Caenorhabditis elegans: one gene and its partner. The protein of the gene in region 1 interacts with the protein of each later gene in a pairwise test. Each region holds a gene or a part of one and is shown in the gene's direction. Other genes may lie near its edges.

Region 1 (6,841 bases):
ACGCCTCTCGTTGGACGAGTAGAGGTGGAAAATCTGCTGTCAAAAATCGAAATTTGTTTAATGGAAAAGTGAACGCGGATAAATCTGCAATGTGCAGATGAAATTTCTATTTAACGAGACCTTATTACGACGGAGTTTCATATTTCAGCAAGGCGCATAAATATTTTTATCCAGAGTCAAGGAATCAAATACTCATATCACCGTTTGAATACACTTGAAATTCCCTGAAACTTTAACCAAATAATGTTTTTTCTCTTCAGTTTTTATTCGAATACTACAAATACACGAGTAATAGTTCAATTTCGTAAAGAGACAATGGAGACAATACATGCAAACTTTCATACTGGAGACTCTACTTTTCCAACGTTTCAAGCCATTTCATTTTTGATTTTTCGATCGTTTCGGCTCGGCTTTCACAGTGCTCGACGACTTTTTTGCTCCCAGATTTTTCGACCTCTTTTTAGCTTTCTCCTTTGCTTTTTGAGTTTTCTTAGATGGAGATGGATTAGGCTTAGAAGAAGTTTTCATCATGTTTGGAGGAAGAGCTGCGTGATGAATTATCTGAAAAAATTAACTAATATCATTAAAAACGCAAGGAAAAGTGCTCACTTTTGCAGACTTCTTCGACTTTTTTGGTGTCAATTCATACCGGACAAGTTGCATTTCTTGTTTTTCCGACCTCTTTCTGCTAGCAGACTTTTTGATTGACTTGTCGGGTGTCACTGTAGCAGGTTTACGAATTGAAGAAGCTTTTTGAACCTGATCCGGTGGAACTATTGCAGGTAAAGCTGTAGCGTAAATCGATCCACCATTACTTTTTTCTGGCTTCGATTCATATGTCGACTGTCCTGTTCCAACGTAGATCGATCGAGCTTCAGACAATGGTTGAGTTTTCATTAGAGTACGTTCACAACTTGGGTTTTTTGGCGCGGGTTTGGAACTCTGAAAAACAAAAATTGAGTTGAGGCGTTACGGGGCCTACGTGCCTACACGCAAATTTTGAAAAAAAAAACCAAACGCAAATATGTGAACTGGTAAGACCTGTTTCAAGCCTGATTACGTGCCTACTACTCACCTTATCATCTTTCACGGATGGAGCTTTCTTGCTTTCATTCTTTTCCAATAACTGCTTCTTCGTCGTGCTCTCTCTGACTGATCCTCGCTTGGAACCAGATTTTGGTTGCTGAAAGTATTCCTGTTGCAGAAAATCCAAATTTTTTCTGCACTGTAAATTTGATTGTATCGTGTGTGTGCCTAGATTCCTATTACTACTATTCCAAACTCAAAACCGATCTTCTTTTTCAACATGCTCCATTAGAACTCACCACTTGCTTCACTGCACTTGTTCGAATACTTCCACGTTGGCTCTTTTCGTTACTGGACTCCTTGCTTTTAATATTCTTCGTGCTTGAAATCATCTTTGGCTTTTCCCGTTCTTCCCTGTCACTTGAACTTCTCTTGCTCCGATTGCTCACTTGTTTCCGAAGGCTTTTCGAACTGCCCTGGGCTGTTTTTTCACTTCTTAAACGATTTCTATCATCTCTTCTGCTACGTTCTGGTTCTTCTGGCTTTCTAGAGCTACTAGTACGCTTTGATCCTTCACCAACATTTTTCTGATGACTTTTTTGTTCCAAACTTTTGGGGTTACGATCTTTGATACTTCTGAAAAAATACAGCTTTACTTCAAAATTAGGTCCAAAAATGAACTTGATTTAATTGTTCGATTGAAATTATTTTCAGCACAATTGCCAAAAAATAAATCAGACATAATGCTCACACTGAGACTGCAAACGCTCACAATGTGAAAATTACAAACGGTCGAGTTATGCGAATCAACTGTGAAATATAAGAACTGCGGGAAGTGTACAAAGAAAACTCATTTTTCTCTTATTCTCATGTATTTTTCACTTTCAATTGGGTTTATTCGTGCATTTGCAGCCTTGTAATTTTACGTGGTTCTGATCCTATCCTACCTATCAATTTTCCTAGACTGTTCCTGGTCTTCCACTTTTTCCCGCGAGCTTCCATCATCCTTCTTCAACTTCTTCTCCAGATTTTCATCTTTCTTCTCATCTTCATTATCCTCTTTATCTACTGTTACCTCCTTTCTCTTACTCTTCTTACTCTTCTTGCTCTTTTTAATCTTATCACCATTCACTTTTCTCAGCTTCTTCTTACTTTTGAAGCTCTTCAAACTCCATTTGCTCTCCATATCACTCCGATCCTTGTGTCGTTGATTTTCCCGGTGTCCAGATGTACATCCAATTGATATTAGAATTGCAGTTAAACTTGCAATTGCAGCTAGATACACTGGAAAATCAATGGGATTTTAAGCGGGAAACAGTAGAACTTACAATAGTTAAGAGAACTGTGAAAGAGCACAAAGTGGAGGCTCATGTTTGATTGGAAATAAATTTGGAACAGAGAATAGCTTTAGTTTTTTTTTAAATTTAAATAACCAGAAATCTTCACGTTTTAAATGTGATTTCTTTTTTTTTTAAGAAAGGAGATAAAATCGATTTGGAAAAATCTTCCCAGGCACTAAAGATCCCAAAAAGTACAAATTCAATTATTTAACCAACCCAATTGTTTCTAATGGTACATTTGTTAGATAATTTCAATACCTAAAAGGTAGGCAGGCACACCTTTATATCTACTTATCCTTTTGCTTAACGCCTATTTTCTGCGTTTTTGCGAAAAATTAACTTTTAAAAAAGTTTTTTCGCAAGTTTTCGATGATTTTAAATGTTCTTAGTAATATTACTATTAATAGGCAAACTTCCTGACTTTTATTTGAATTTGGAATTATTTTTGATCGAGTTGGATGAATTTTTTTTTAGATTTTTAACAATTTTTCAAAAAGCTTCCAGGAAACTATTCAGCCCGCGTTTTCAGGGGATCAGAGTTGAGTTCCGCAGCAAACATTTTGTCTAGAAGTCCTAGTTTAAAAATAAGCGTTCTAATGGCAAACGTCTTATTTTTAAGTCCGATTTCCTTTAATTGGAAGTCCGAAAAACTAAAAAACAAAATTATCAAAACAATTTTGCGTGTAATTGACCTCGCGAAAAAAAATTACCAAAAGATTGCACGTGCTGATAAAAGTCAACGTGTGGTTGAGAATTGAAGAATTCAATCATTGTACGATTCTTGCGACGGACGACAACTTTGGATCATCGCTCCGGGCCTACCAAAGGTATGTTTTGTGGTATCGATGCGAAATGTGATGCATTCAATCGGTGTACTAGGTCATCGGGCTTCCATGGGAGGCAGGCACTGTTTCAAAACCTGCCGTCGCCGCACGGCCGCCGCGGCAGGCGTTTTGTTACCTATGTGGAAGCCCTCCGATGCATCATTCTTGTTGACAACCAATAAATCAATAATTTTTCAGTAAAGAAGAACAATAATGACAGCGCCAATGGATGTCGATAACTTGATGAGCCGTTTGCTCAATGTCGGCATGTCCGGTGGAAGACTGACAACTTCTGTCAACGAGCAGGAACTCCAGACTTGCTGTGCTGTGGCCAAATCGGTATTCGCCTCCCAAGCATCACTCCTGGAGGTTGAGCCGCCGATCATCGTGTGCGGAGATATCCACGGACAGTACTCGGATCTCTTGCGCATCTTTGACAAGAACGGATTCCCGCCTGATGTCAATTTCCTGTTCCTTGGAGACTATGTGGATCGTGGAAGACAGAATATCGAGACGATCTGTTTGATGTTATGTTTCAAGATCAAGTATCCAGAGAACTTCTTCATGCTTCGTGGAAACCACGAGTGCCCAGCCATCAACCGTGTTTATGGGTTCTACGAGGAGTGCAACCGTCGTTACAAGTCGACTCGTCTCTGGTCAATCTTCCAGGTAAGGAGAGCAGACACTTTGTCGAACTTTGTCCCCTTTCTGTAGCGGATTATCACTTCGCTGCGAAGAATGAAACAACTCCCTAATTCTCCAAATTTCAGGACACTTTCAACTGGATGCCTCTCTGTGGACTCATTGGTTCCCGCATCCTTTGCATGCATGGTGGTCTGTCCCCACATCTTCAAACTCTTGATCAACTTCGCCAACTGCCACGCCCCCAGGATCCACCAAATCCATCGATCGGAATCGACTTGTTGTGGGCTGACCCTGATCAATGGGTGAAGGGATGGCAGGCAAATACTCGTGGAGTCTCTTATGTCTTTGGACAGGATGTTGTTGCTGACGTTTGCTCGAGACTTGACATCGACTTGGTTGCTCGTGCACATCAAGTCGTTCAAGACGGCTACGAGTTCTTTGCCTCCAAGAAGATGGTCACCATTTTCTCGGCACCTCACTACTGCGGACAGTTTGACAATTCGGCTGCAACAATGAAGGTGAGATTCTTTATTACAACTTCTTTGTGAAAAATCGAATATTTTAGGTCGATGAGAACATGGTCTGCACTTTCGTCATGTACAAGCCAACTCCGAAGTCCATGCGTCGAGGATAAGCTCTGCAAACTGTCACCACCATCCAACCAACCAACCAAATGAGATAAATCAGTTGAAGTCTGTGTGTTTAAATGAATGAATGATTGAGGAAAATTCTTCTTTGTTTTAATTGCTTTTTTTCCGGGCACACATCAGCAATTAGCAATCATGTTTCCGCGCTAAATACGGTGTCTGCGCAGATAGCTTATAAGACAAAAACCGCCTATTTAGCCGAAGTGAAACAGGCACAAAGGATACCTAGGTAGGCAGGCAAGAATGTATTATCAGACAAAAAAGTTCGCATCCTGAAATCATATTCGAGTGTAATTTCGAGAAAAGTATTCTTGAATGTTTGAAAAATATTGCAGAACGGCGTACGACAAGGAAAGCATGTGAACTTGGGTGGCAAATCGGATGCATTCTGTTGGATGGAGGTTATCAAAAATGCACATTTTGCACATGTTTTAAAAAATTTTAGAATTCAAAAAAATAGAAACAAATTTTTATTCAATTAAAATTAATTAATAACATTAATATTTTCCTCATTTGTGAAGCTGTTTTTTGAAAAAAAAAAATTCCCGTAATGTGTCGCTCAGCAAAAATAGAAAATAAATCAATTAAAAAATTTTCGAACACAATATTCGCTTTCAAAATTGAAAAGCCACATTCTCATGTGTCCAACATTGTCACTGAAGAAGAATCCAAACGATTTTTCTTCAACCAATCGTTTAATAAATGTCATGAACTGTTCTTTTTGTTCTTTGCTTGGGTTGTGAACCTGGAATATGAATATTCTCACTATAGATTAATGGAAGTTTCAAATGTAAATTTAAACTGAAGTAACTCACTTCCAAACTCATTTGACAAAAAGTAATTCCTAATTGTTCTAATTTTCCATTTTTATAGAAAATATCGAAAGTCCCATATTCAGAGTATTCAGAATCCATCCATAAATAATCAATAACCTTTAAAAAGTCTTTTCGTTTTAAAATTCAAGATATTTCTTACTTTTTCACCAAGAACTTCTTTCAAAAAGTAATATAAATCTACATGAACTACTGGCATACTAATGTATTCTCCTGGAAATTCAAAAAAAATTAAAATTAAAACTTCGTAAGTTTTCCCACCTTTCGAAAGTACACTAGCCATTGAAAATCCAGCTTTCTCACCAACAGCAAATGGGAAATATTTTCCAATTTTTGAATATAAAACTGAATTTCCTTCCACAATTGGGTCAGCTCCATAGAAAGTAACATTGTGTCCAATGTTGTGCATTTCCTGAATTAAAAATATGTTTTTAACACTGTAAAAAGCTACCAACAAAAGTAAATTTTCGTCAATTTTTCTTACAATTGCTAGTTAAATATGATGTATTAATATTTGCCGCGCTTGTTCTTACCTTCTGAAACGCCACCTCAGCACTTATATCCTGTCCAATCCCAAGTGTTATAAACACATCTTTCAGAGTGTTCTAAAACAAATTTCAATTCGTAAAAAAGTGGAAATCGTTAATTCAAAAATTCAAAAACTCACACGAACTGGCAATATTGCATATTTAACCTCATCGGAATTTTTCAGTGGAATAGCTCGTAGAGATTGATGGACATTTGTATCAAAATCACAAGTTCGAGATTTTCCCTTGAAACTGTTCCAAAAGTCTTCTGCGTTCGTAGTTATGTCCAGAAATTTTTGAGCAACGCACGAATTCCATTCTTCGAAAAACTTTGGTTTAAAAGAATTCAGCTGGATTAGAGTTTTGCCGTTTCGAGTGATCTGAAAGAAAAATCTGACTTGAAATGAACTTTTTTTGAAAATGTTTTTTCGGGGACTTCTTTCAAATTTCAAGCGTTTTCAGAATTTAATATCTAAATTTTTCTAGGTGCCAGAAGCTTCCAGTTCAATCAAAAAAACTGGCCTTCAGACATATAAATGACCGCATTTTTTTATAGGGAGATTTACTGAATTTGCATAAATTTAAAAATTAATATCTGACTTAAAATTATCTTTTTTTAAATGTTTTTTCGGGGACTTGTTTCAAATTTTAAGCGCTTCCAGAATTTAATTATAACATTTTTCTAGGTGCCAGAAGCTTCCAGTTTAATAAAAAAAAACTGACCTCCAGGCATATAAATGATCGCATTTTTTTATTGGGATATTTATTTAATTTTCATGATTTCAAAAATTAATATCTGACTTAAAATGAACTTTTTTGAAAATTTTTTTTCGGGGACTTGTTTCAACTTTAAAGAAACTCGGATTTTCTTAATTTACAGTAATCCTACAGTACTCCTGAAGTACCTCTACAGTACTCATACAGTATCTCCACACTTCCCAAAAAATATAAAGTTAATCATTAAGAGTTTAAAAATAATCAAAGATTGCGTGACTGCTG
Region 2 (9,800 bases), on another chromosome or scaffold:
AATGGATGATTTCGAAACGTACGATTATCCTTGGGATGATGATGGAGAAGTTGATAGGGAATGGTAAATAACAACGGTAAATGTTTGTAAAGTTCACTTGAGATATGTTGTCTATTTTGGACAATATGGATATGGCTTTGAACAAAAATGAACTAATTGTAAGAAGAAAAACCCTATATTTTTTGATATTCTGCAAAACTAAACTTTTTATTTTCAGGACCCGATCTGAAAAAGAATTGTTGAAGAAACACCCATTGTATTGACAACAAAAAAGCAGCATTTTAAAATAAAGATAACACATTAACTATTTATCTGTCTGTTCCCCATTTTCACTGACTCCACTCTTACATCTACTTTAAGGGTCCTTTTTCCATCCTTCTTTGCAGACCTAACAAATCTAAAAAAACAATCGTATAATATCTGAATTAATTAACCTTTCACGACTTGTAATTAACCCATATTATTATATTTGCTTGGAAAAATAGGATTTTTTAAAAAATGTTGACAGATCCTTTCCAATCATCAATTTCCCATATTCACCATGTCAAAAACACGTTAAGTATTTACGAGAACTCAAGCATGCTCTGTAGAGAACTGTTTAAATTTTCCTTATTTTATGTTTCCGGTTTGCCGACCTGTTTGAGATTTCAAAGCTACAGTATTTTCAAAACGATGTTGCTTTAATACTTATGCTACATTTATTTCTCTATTGGACCTGCACTCAATAATATCAATTGAGACATACATTTCCAGTCCTTATCTATTTGTCTTACTAAAATGTGAACTTTTATCAGTCTTGCTTTCAAGTTATTTTATTCCATTTCAGTTGTATTTTTTAATAACTTTTAATATTTTTGAAATGCGCTGTTAATATTTTTAATTGATACTTTCTATTTAATTTAAATTGTTTATTCCGTGTTTTTACGTGCATTTTCGGATAATCGGCTTCCAAATATACCAAAAATTGAGTGCCTACCGATTGAAACTGTAAGCTAATAACAACTAGGCCTGTTGAATGGGTCGAGATGGGTCGACCCGCGACCCAATTTTGGGTCGGGGTCGCGTCCCCGACCCATTTTCGGAAAATGTCTGAAATTGAAAAAAAAAGTTTGTTTTGTTGTAAATCGTGTTTAAACGTTGACTCTTATGCTTGTTTGTATCGAAAATAGGATATGTTTTTTTAATTGATGAAAATACGATAATTTTATAATTTTCAGCTTTTACACGTGTTTTTTGACAAAAAATAGTTTTTCAAGTTTTTGATAACTTTCTGTTAAATTTTGAAAAAAATGGGTCGGGGACATGACCCCGACCCAAAAAGTGGGTCGGGGCCGCAACCCCGACCCAAAAAATGGGTCGGGGACGCGACCCCAACCCGGCCGACCCAAAAAAAATGGGGCGACCCACTCCACAGGCCTAATAACAACAATGCAGACAAAATATACAAAATAGCAGTATATTCGAATAAAAATTCATATCTGTCCACTGCGAGAAGAACGAGTAATTAATATGTCTTTTTTTTTATATTTTGCACGTTTCTGTTTTTGTGGTGTCCTTGTTCTATATAAAGGACTACACACCAAAAAACAACTGAATAATAGACGTTGTTGACATGCTTGTTTGTGGATTTTCAGAGATCAAATCCCACGTTTTCGGTTTTTTTTGTCGTTTTTTCGGAATCTCTAAAATGTATATTCTTTGTTTTTAGTAGTTCATATTATTATAAAAGAAAAAAAACTGCACATCTGGTAAACAATATAGAAAAAGAGAGTTGCGAAACTTCAAAAATTTGTTATTTAATGTCTTGCGACACTTAAAAAACCGGCATTTTACAGTTTATGTTGTGTTTTTTGTTTGTCGGTTGTCTTATCATCTTGTGGTTTTGGATGCATTTTTCACTTGGCAAGTTGTTTACCACTTTCTTCCGACCGCATGCTTTTTTTGCTTCGTTGGTTTTTTCAAAGTAAGACGGTTGTCATACAACAAATATCACAAGGAAATCACATATTTCACTGTTTCAACACCATGCCCATTTTACTCCAGACAAAAAGTTACCTATGTAGTTCCACTAGACGTTAGGAAATATTATACATTTTTGAAATTCATTTTTATTTTAGAGATTTCAAAATTATAGATTTTTACTAAAATTGCACGGAACGGCGGAAATAAGTAGACGAACGCCTACAGTCAAAATTCACAGGAATACCTCGTTAAATTATTCCGCTTTAAATAACTAAAATTGTATATAACATCACACTTCTACTTCCAGTGAAATACGCCTCTTTCTGCTTAAACTTTTTGTTCAGTTAACCAAAAGAATAGAGATTTGCAGCAAAGGTGGAGTAGCTCTTGTGCACGTGGTGGCAGGCAGTCCCATCACGGTCTGATCTACAAAACATGCGGGAATTTTTTCCCCCAAAAAATATGACGTCAGCACACTCTTAGCCATGCGCATTCAGTTGAAATGTCTGCGTCTAAATTCCCGCGAATTTTGTAGATCTACGTAGATCAAACAGAACTGAGACAATTTGACACCACGTGTCAGTGGAAATTTCATTATAACGCATTTATGATATTACAAAACAATAATACAGTCACTTGAATCTTTGTTTAAGGTGGTTTATATAATTTTCCCCAAGTTAAATTCGAATAATAATTTGTTTTGAAGAGAAAACAAGTTACTAAATGTTATTAAATTGTGAGCAACGTATTGCGTACATAAAATAATTTTGCTTTATACTTGATCCACCAGAATTCACATTCCCTCGTTATTTGAAAATGTTTAGTTTCACGCACATGTTTCTCATATTTCATTATTCCAGAATTTTCTTCTTTTTTTTTTTGAAAACAAATCTCGCTTTCCAAAAAAATCAATATTCAAACGCAACCTTTCTCGTGATGCTGTTGACGGGGGGAGAAATAGTGTCTGAAGTTGTTTTCGTCCTTTTTCCTGCCGCAGCAAAAAAGGTCACATCCCCTCTCTTCGCTGCTATCTCTATTTCTCTCTCATCTCTCTTGCCGGCGTTTCTCTGCTTCTCCGCTCAAGTTTTGTCTGCAATCTTTTCCTTCTGTCCTTTTCCTCTGTTTGCCACAATACGTCACTAGGGGTGTTTGTTTTTCCCATAGTCTTTCGTAGCCAACGACTATTTTCTTCTTTTTTTTTTCGTGTTTTATCAAAGCTATGAATTCTTAGTTCGTTAGATTTTTTTTTGGAGGAAAAATTGTCGTAGAACCTAATTAGTGTTGAATTAAAAAAATTAAACTTCAAAGCCTTATTGAAAATATGATCAATTAAAACTAAATTGTTATAAATGTTTCATAACCATGAAGTTCAAACTATGTTTGTAAATTTTTAAGATGTAATGGAAAAGTTGTAATATTTAAGTGCTCGTGTAGTATATCTGCCCTAAAAATTTTTGCCAATAGGGTTTCCACGTGGTGTCAGAATGTCTAATTTCGGCTTGATCTACGTAGATCTACAAAAAATGCGGGAGAAGAGACGCAGAGCTCTCAACTAATTTTGCATGGTTAAGAACGTGCTGACGTCACATTTTTGTGGCTAAAAAGTCCCGCATTTTTTGTAGATCACACCGTAGTGGGACACGTGGTTTTCCATTTTTGGGGCAGGTATAGTACATAAATACCATAATTTAAAACTACCTTTTAATTGTATTTTTTTAACGACGTATTTTTCTTTTTTAAAACAAAATCTCTGAAAGAATTATCACTATTTACAGCGTAAAAATGTCTACTGAAAACGCCCATCTACAAAAAGAAGACATTGTTATTGAAAGTTGGCTTCACAAGAAAGGAGAGCACATTCGTAATTGGCGCCCCAGGTAAGTTTTTCATTGTTTTACCAGGCCTATGTATCCAATCTAGTACAGTAGTTTTAAGTTTCATAGCTACTGTCCCTTATGAAAAGATATTCAAAAAGTTTTCACTTTAATTGCACTGAATTGGAAATGAAAATCTTCCAACAGGAAACCAAAACTAATTTGGAAATAAATGAAAATTAAATCCTAAGATGTCAGTATTTTAGGTACTTCATCTTGTTTCGAGATGGAACGTTGCTTGGATTCCGGTCAAAGCCAAAGGAAGATCAGCCGTTACCAGAGCCACTGAATAATTTTATGATTAGAGACGCAGCGGTAAGTTTTTGAACCTGTAGATGGTTACTAGAAAGTTTTCAAAATCGTTGCTTTTAAAGGTGGAGTAGCGCCAGACAATTTACTAAGTTTTTGCCACCCATTATTTTGGAAGTCGACAAAAAGAATTTTTTCCAACATTTTTTATACTGTATATCTGTTTTAATTATATCCATTGAAACATTGTAAGGGTCGGAACCAGGGGTGTGCGGCAAATCTCAAAATTTACCGAGCTCGGCAAATTCGGCAAATCTATTTTTCCATTATTTGCCGAGCACGGCCAATTCGGCAAATTTGCCGTGCTTAACAAAATCGGAAAAATTATATATTTTTTGATATTTTTTGGAGCACCGAAACTACTGAATTCTTAACACACCTCTGGTTTCTGAACAAGTTAGATGTAGTGTGTCTGCTTAAACATCAAAATAACTCAATTTGTTGTCATTTTACTAAATTTTTGGCGAAAAAATCAACAGTTTTAGTCAAAATTGTACTGTCAAATTTTTGACGTGTGCGGCAAATTTCGAAATTTGCCGCACACCCCTGGTCGGAACATTCGACATTGCTTTCGATTTCTTCAAAAACTCATACTTTTCAAAACTTTGGCAATTTGCCAAAACTTTGACCGGAAATTATGAAAAATCTAAAATTTATTGGAATGCTTCATTATGATATTCGGACATTTTGGATTATTAAAAATGTGTTTGAACAAAATCTTCCCTGGCTCTACTCCACCTTTAAGCAGAAAGTTAGTACCCCAGTAATATACATATGTAGAAATCCCTCTTTAGTAAAAATTTGAAAACCTTAGCTGAACTTCAAATAAGTTTTTAAGTAATTGCCAGTAGGCAGTTTCCATATTGAAAACCGCAACTACCAAAATGCTTTATTTCAGACGGTTTGCCTTGACAAACCTCGACCAAATATGTTTATCGTGCGATGTCTCCAATGGACCACTGTCATTGAACGCACATTTTATGCGGATAGCGCCGACTTCCGTCAGATGTGGATTGAAGCAATTCAAGCTGTATCCAGTCACAATCGTTTGAAAGAAAATGCAGGAAATACCAGCATGCAGGAGGAAGATACTAATGGAGTATGAAAGTAAAGAGATTCAAAATTTTCATGAAATTTTTTAGAATCCGTCTGGAGAAAGTGATGTGAACATGGACGCAACAAGCACCCGTTCGGATAATGATTTTGAGTCAACTGTAATGAATATCGACGAACCAGAGGAAGTTCCAAGAAAAAATACAGTGGTAAGTTTCAAAATCCTGCCAACAAATCCACGTATTGATATGTGGAAATAAGAGGTTTTTAAAGAAAGTTTTTTGAGTAAAAATGATTAACTCGAAAGGCGCAACAAGTTTTTTTTGGTTGACAGGTTGAGCGAAACTTTTTTTTCTGATTTTCCGCTAAAAATTCAAGTTTTGCTTTGTATCTCTATTATTTCTTAAATGTATGTAGTTATTTAATTTTGCAGACGATGGACGATTTTGACTTCCTCAAAGTTCTCGGTCAAGGAACCTTCGGAAAAGTTATTTTGTGCAGGGAGAAAAGTTCTGATAAGCTCTACGCCATTAAGATTATCAGAAAAGAAATGGTCGTTGATCGTTCTGAGGTGGCCCACACTTTGACTGAAAATCGAGTTCTGTATGCTTGCGTTCACCCTTTTCTCACGGTATGCTTATTGGTCGAAAAAATATTGAGTCGGTGTACAATGTTGGCAGATGTCAGTGAAAATTGAAGTAGATGATTTTTTTCGTGAAAAAATCATGTTTAGAGAGACGGATAAATGCACACTAGGATTTCAACGATGGCGCTACTCTCGCCCGCCAGCACCACAATACGCCCCACACTCCCGCCGCCCTCACAACATCGCCTTTCTCTGTTGCACGTAGCTATAGTGGCGCGAGGTCCTGCGCGGCGTCGGCAGCAGTACACAGAGTGTGATAATGCTGGCGCATGGGCGTGCCGAAGTAGGGCGGGCGTTTCCGTGGAACCATATTTTTTTTCTCTAAGAAACTCTGAAATACATATTTCCTATAAATTTATCGATTGCCATAACTTTACAAATATATCTTACTTACAATTATTTAAAATATTTGAATTCCCCAGTTGTTGACACAGTGCCACAAATATATTTTTTCAGCTACTTAAATACAGTTTCCAAGCACAATATCACATCTGTTTTGTGATGGAGTTTGCAAATGGTGGCGAGCTGTTCACCCATCTTCAGAGGTGCAAAACATTCAGCGAAGCACGAACAAGATTTTATGGATCGGAAATCATACTTGCTCTTGGATACCTTCATCACAGAAATATTGTGTATCGTGATATGAAAGTAAGTAGAAGCTTTTTGAGAGGGGTTATCACAACTTGAAGTATTTGTCAGAAATTTTTGAATTTCACAACTTTGATGTTTTTTCATTGTTTTTTCCATTGTTTTTTCAGCTCGAAAATTTGCTTCTCGACAGAGATGGTCACATCAAAATCACTGACTTTGGGTTGTGCAAAGAGGAAATCAAATATGGAGATAAAACAAGCACCTTTTGCGGAACACCAGAATACCTTGCACCAGAGGTAAAGCCTTTCAATTCTCGCGTCAAGTTATTAGTCTATTGTTTCAGGTTATCGAAGACATCGACTATGACCGTAGTGTTGACTGGTGGGGAGTCGGAGTGGTCATGTACGAAATGATGTGTGGACGGCTTCCATTTTCAGCAAAGGAGAACGGCAAACTCTTCGAACTAATTACGACATGTGATTTGAAGTTCCCGAATAGGTTAAGCCCAGAAGCCGTAACATTACTATCTGGACTACTCGAAAGGGTCCCAGCTAAGCGGCTTGGTGCCGGTCCTGATGATGCACGTGAAGTTTCGAGAGCTGAATTTTTCAAAGATGTGGATTGGGAAGCAACATTAAGAAAAGAAGTCGAACCTCCATTTAAGCCAAATGTGATGTCTGAAACGGACACGAGTTTCTTTGACAGAGTACGTTACGTTTCAATTCTTTTGAAAGTTTCAGAAGCAATATGAGTAATTTTTAGAGTAAACGATTTACAATTAGGGCAAAGTGTTGTTATTTTTAGTACAGTTTTAAAAAAATGTATGCCAACGTACATAAGATTTCATTTAGTTTTTTTACTGATACTGAAACACAAACAACACTTTGTTTAATGACTAGGATTTTCCAATTTTCATAACAGTTTTCATAGTTTCTAGAAATAAGAGAACCAATGATTCAAAAATGATATTAACATATACTCAGGAGTTCACATCAATGCCGGTCCAACTGACGCCTCCACGTAGAGGGGAAGAACTTCCGACAGTTGATGAGGAAGAAGAATTACAAGCCAACTTCATACAATTTGCGTCATACTACGTGTCGGGAAGCTTGGAACGATCTTATGATACGAACAGAAGCGCTGACAAATACGAAATAAGATGATTTTGTTTTCAACAATTTTTTGTGTTTTCTGTACGTTTTTTTCTCATTCACTCAATTTTGTCAACATTTCATTGTCTCCTTTGAAAACTTGTTATCTCTTTCATGAACTTAACAAAATCTCTTTCAAACATTTCAACCTTTCCAAAAACTGAAACTTTGCGTAGAGCACATTTCGTGTTGCTCACATCCTCTGGGCTAATTTCCATTCCTTTCCTGTTAAAACTCCCCATTTCGCATCACTTTTTTGACAATGCTCTTTTATCATGTTTTTCTGTAGTACTTGATTCATATACCCATCTCTCGGGTATATTTAAAACTTTTAAAACACAGTTCCTTTTCTTGATAACATCTTTTTCTTGATATTTTGTCGCCGACATTTTTTCTCGGGAATGAACCTTTCTCACATGGATGACTTAACAGTACTTTTACATTAAGACAAATACTCAGTTCAAGTAACAAAGAAAACTTTTATCAGAATTTATTTAGTTCAGTTTTTGAATGTCTAATAAAAAAGTGCATTATATCTCAAAACTTTCGAACATAGAAAAACGAATGCTTTTAATAAGTTGTAATTGGAATTGAAACAGATTTCGAGAAGTGAAACAATGTTCGGGGATCCTGTGGAAATCTGTCATGCCATACGAGAAAGTACATAGCAAAGTTTTCGATTAGAATAGTTTCGAGTAGACCATCACTTCTCTCAATATCGAGTCCATATGTGCAATCCACAAATTCAAGATCATCACTGAAACGACAATTTAAAAAAAACTGAATTTTCAACTGGCAGGCTTAAGTTTAGACATATGTTCCGGTTAAGTGTAAGGCTTGGGCTTAGGTTCAGGTTAGGCTAAGCATTAAAATTGAAATCAGGTGTCGGCTTAGAAAGCTTAAGTTTCGACTTAGCTTATGTGGTTTTAAAGTGTAGTTTTTCTTTTTATTTTTTCCCTGTTTTCCCCTAGATTTTAAGCAAGAATAATGCATATCAGAATGATTCCCTCCATTTTTATGACTTGAAAATTCCAGAAAGTTATTATTTGGAAAAGACCTTAATTAAACATACCAGAAGATTCTTGCTCTACGTTTTGGATTCCATTTGGAATATGATAAACCTTTCAATAATTCGCCCGTCCAATTATGCCACCAGTAGTTCAATTGAAGTCTTCTCAGTTTCGGCGAATTCCCGGCCAGCCAGTAATGAATTTACTTATTCCGTTTTGTTGCCGAGACTGTATTGAGATCATAAAATCTCATTTTCTCGCAATCCATCATTTTCAAATCGTCTAGTGTTAATCCTGGGCCTTTTTCGATGTCCAATCGTGGAATATTGGCCCACTTAAATGTGAATATGCTCATAATTCAGCAAAGATATTTTCAACTTACCAGCTTTCTATCAATCTTGTCCTTGTGTAAACAATAAGTCAGGAATCCATATTTCGAATCGAAATTCTTCAATATAAATTCCATATCTTCAGTGCCAAAGTACGAATGTCCGAGAAGTTTTAGAAAATGGCATTTCCGAAACAAAGGGTGGCTCAAAGCAGATTTGAACTCCCCAAAAAGTTGATCATGGTCAATTGCCAAATCGACATGATCGATTGAAAACAATCCGTTCAAATAATCCAAAAGACTAGTCAACTGAAAGTTGTCATAGCCGACCAAATTTAGATTGTCTACCTTTCTTTAGTGAAAATTATCAAAATTAGAAAATAAAATCAAAAGCATAGTAGAAAACTTGTCCAGGAACAGAGGAAAACTGGATTTCCATGTGCAAAAACTAAATAACCTATCTCCGCGAAAAATGATCGGATAGAGCTGTGATTTGAGATTCCATTTTGAATCATTCTATTAACTCTAAATTTAACATAAAAACCGAAACGATAGTGGAAAGTTTGTGAATTTTATGGAAAAATGCAAATTGTTCAAGATAAATGTTCATTTTTCGATTTTTGATACGATTATCCACCTTTTTTGGAAAAAAATTATATTTTTCGCTTCCTCTCGATGTATTCAACATTTTTCCAAAAAAAAATTGGAAAAAAAGCAAGACTAACAGAGATTTGACCGGAACAATGGTGAAAACTGACCGAAAACACACCAAATATGAAAGGGGGAGGTGGGTGTGTGTGTGAGAGAAAAGGGGGAATGTGCAGAAATTTTGGCAAAACTTTAATTATCGTTTTAAAAATAACGAATAGAGATATC

The links.
Region 2: the proteins of gsp-3 (region 1) and akt-2 interact in a two-hybrid assay, tested with the Caenorhabditis elegans proteins (one large-scale study listed by BioGRID).

What each region holds. Positions count from the first base shown.
Region 1 is NC_003279.8:4,706,984-4,713,824, reverse strand, and holds gsp-3 (Serine/threonine-protein phosphatase PP1-gamma), read left to right. Parts: upstream 1-3,112; 5' UTR 3,113-3,193; intron 3,194-3,388; 5' UTR 3,389-3,403; coding exon 3,404-3,859; intron 3,860-3,960; coding exon 3,961-4,353; intron 4,354-4,400; coding exon 4,401-4,469; 3' UTR 4,470-4,566; downstream 4,567-6,841. Other genes in the region: W09C3.2 (uncharacterized protein), read right to left, coding at 379-561, 610-942, 1,076-1,183, 1,326-1,662, 1,974-2,310, 2,355-2,397; W09C3.3 (Methyltransferase FkbM domain-containing protein), read right to left, coding at 5,063-5,227, 5,298-5,414, 5,458-5,528, 5,577-5,727, 5,849-5,920, 5,983-6,222.
Region 2 is NC_003284.9:14,143,963-14,153,762, forward strand, and holds akt-2 (Serine/threonine-protein kinase akt-2), read left to right. Parts: upstream 1-3,737; 5' UTR 3,738-3,744; coding exon 3,745-3,839; intron 3,840-4,042; coding exon 4,043-4,151; intron 4,152-5,043; coding exon 5,044-5,244; intron 5,245-5,287; coding exon 5,288-5,407; intron 5,408-5,631; coding exon 5,632-5,829; intron 5,830-6,300; coding exon 6,301-6,492; intron 6,493-6,602; coding exon 6,603-6,731; intron 6,732-6,778; coding exon 6,779-7,141; coding exon of another isoform or gene 7,142-7,186; exon of another isoform or gene 7,187-7,418; coding exon 7,419-7,598; 3' UTR 7,599-8,006; downstream 8,007-9,800. Other genes in the region: ceh-89 (Homeodomain-only protein), read left to right, coding at 218-229. UniProt on the Caenorhabditis elegans protein: Acts downstream of PI3 kinase age-1 and kinase pdk-1 in the daf-2/insulin receptor-like transduction pathway. Essential role in regulating developmental arrest at the dauer stage.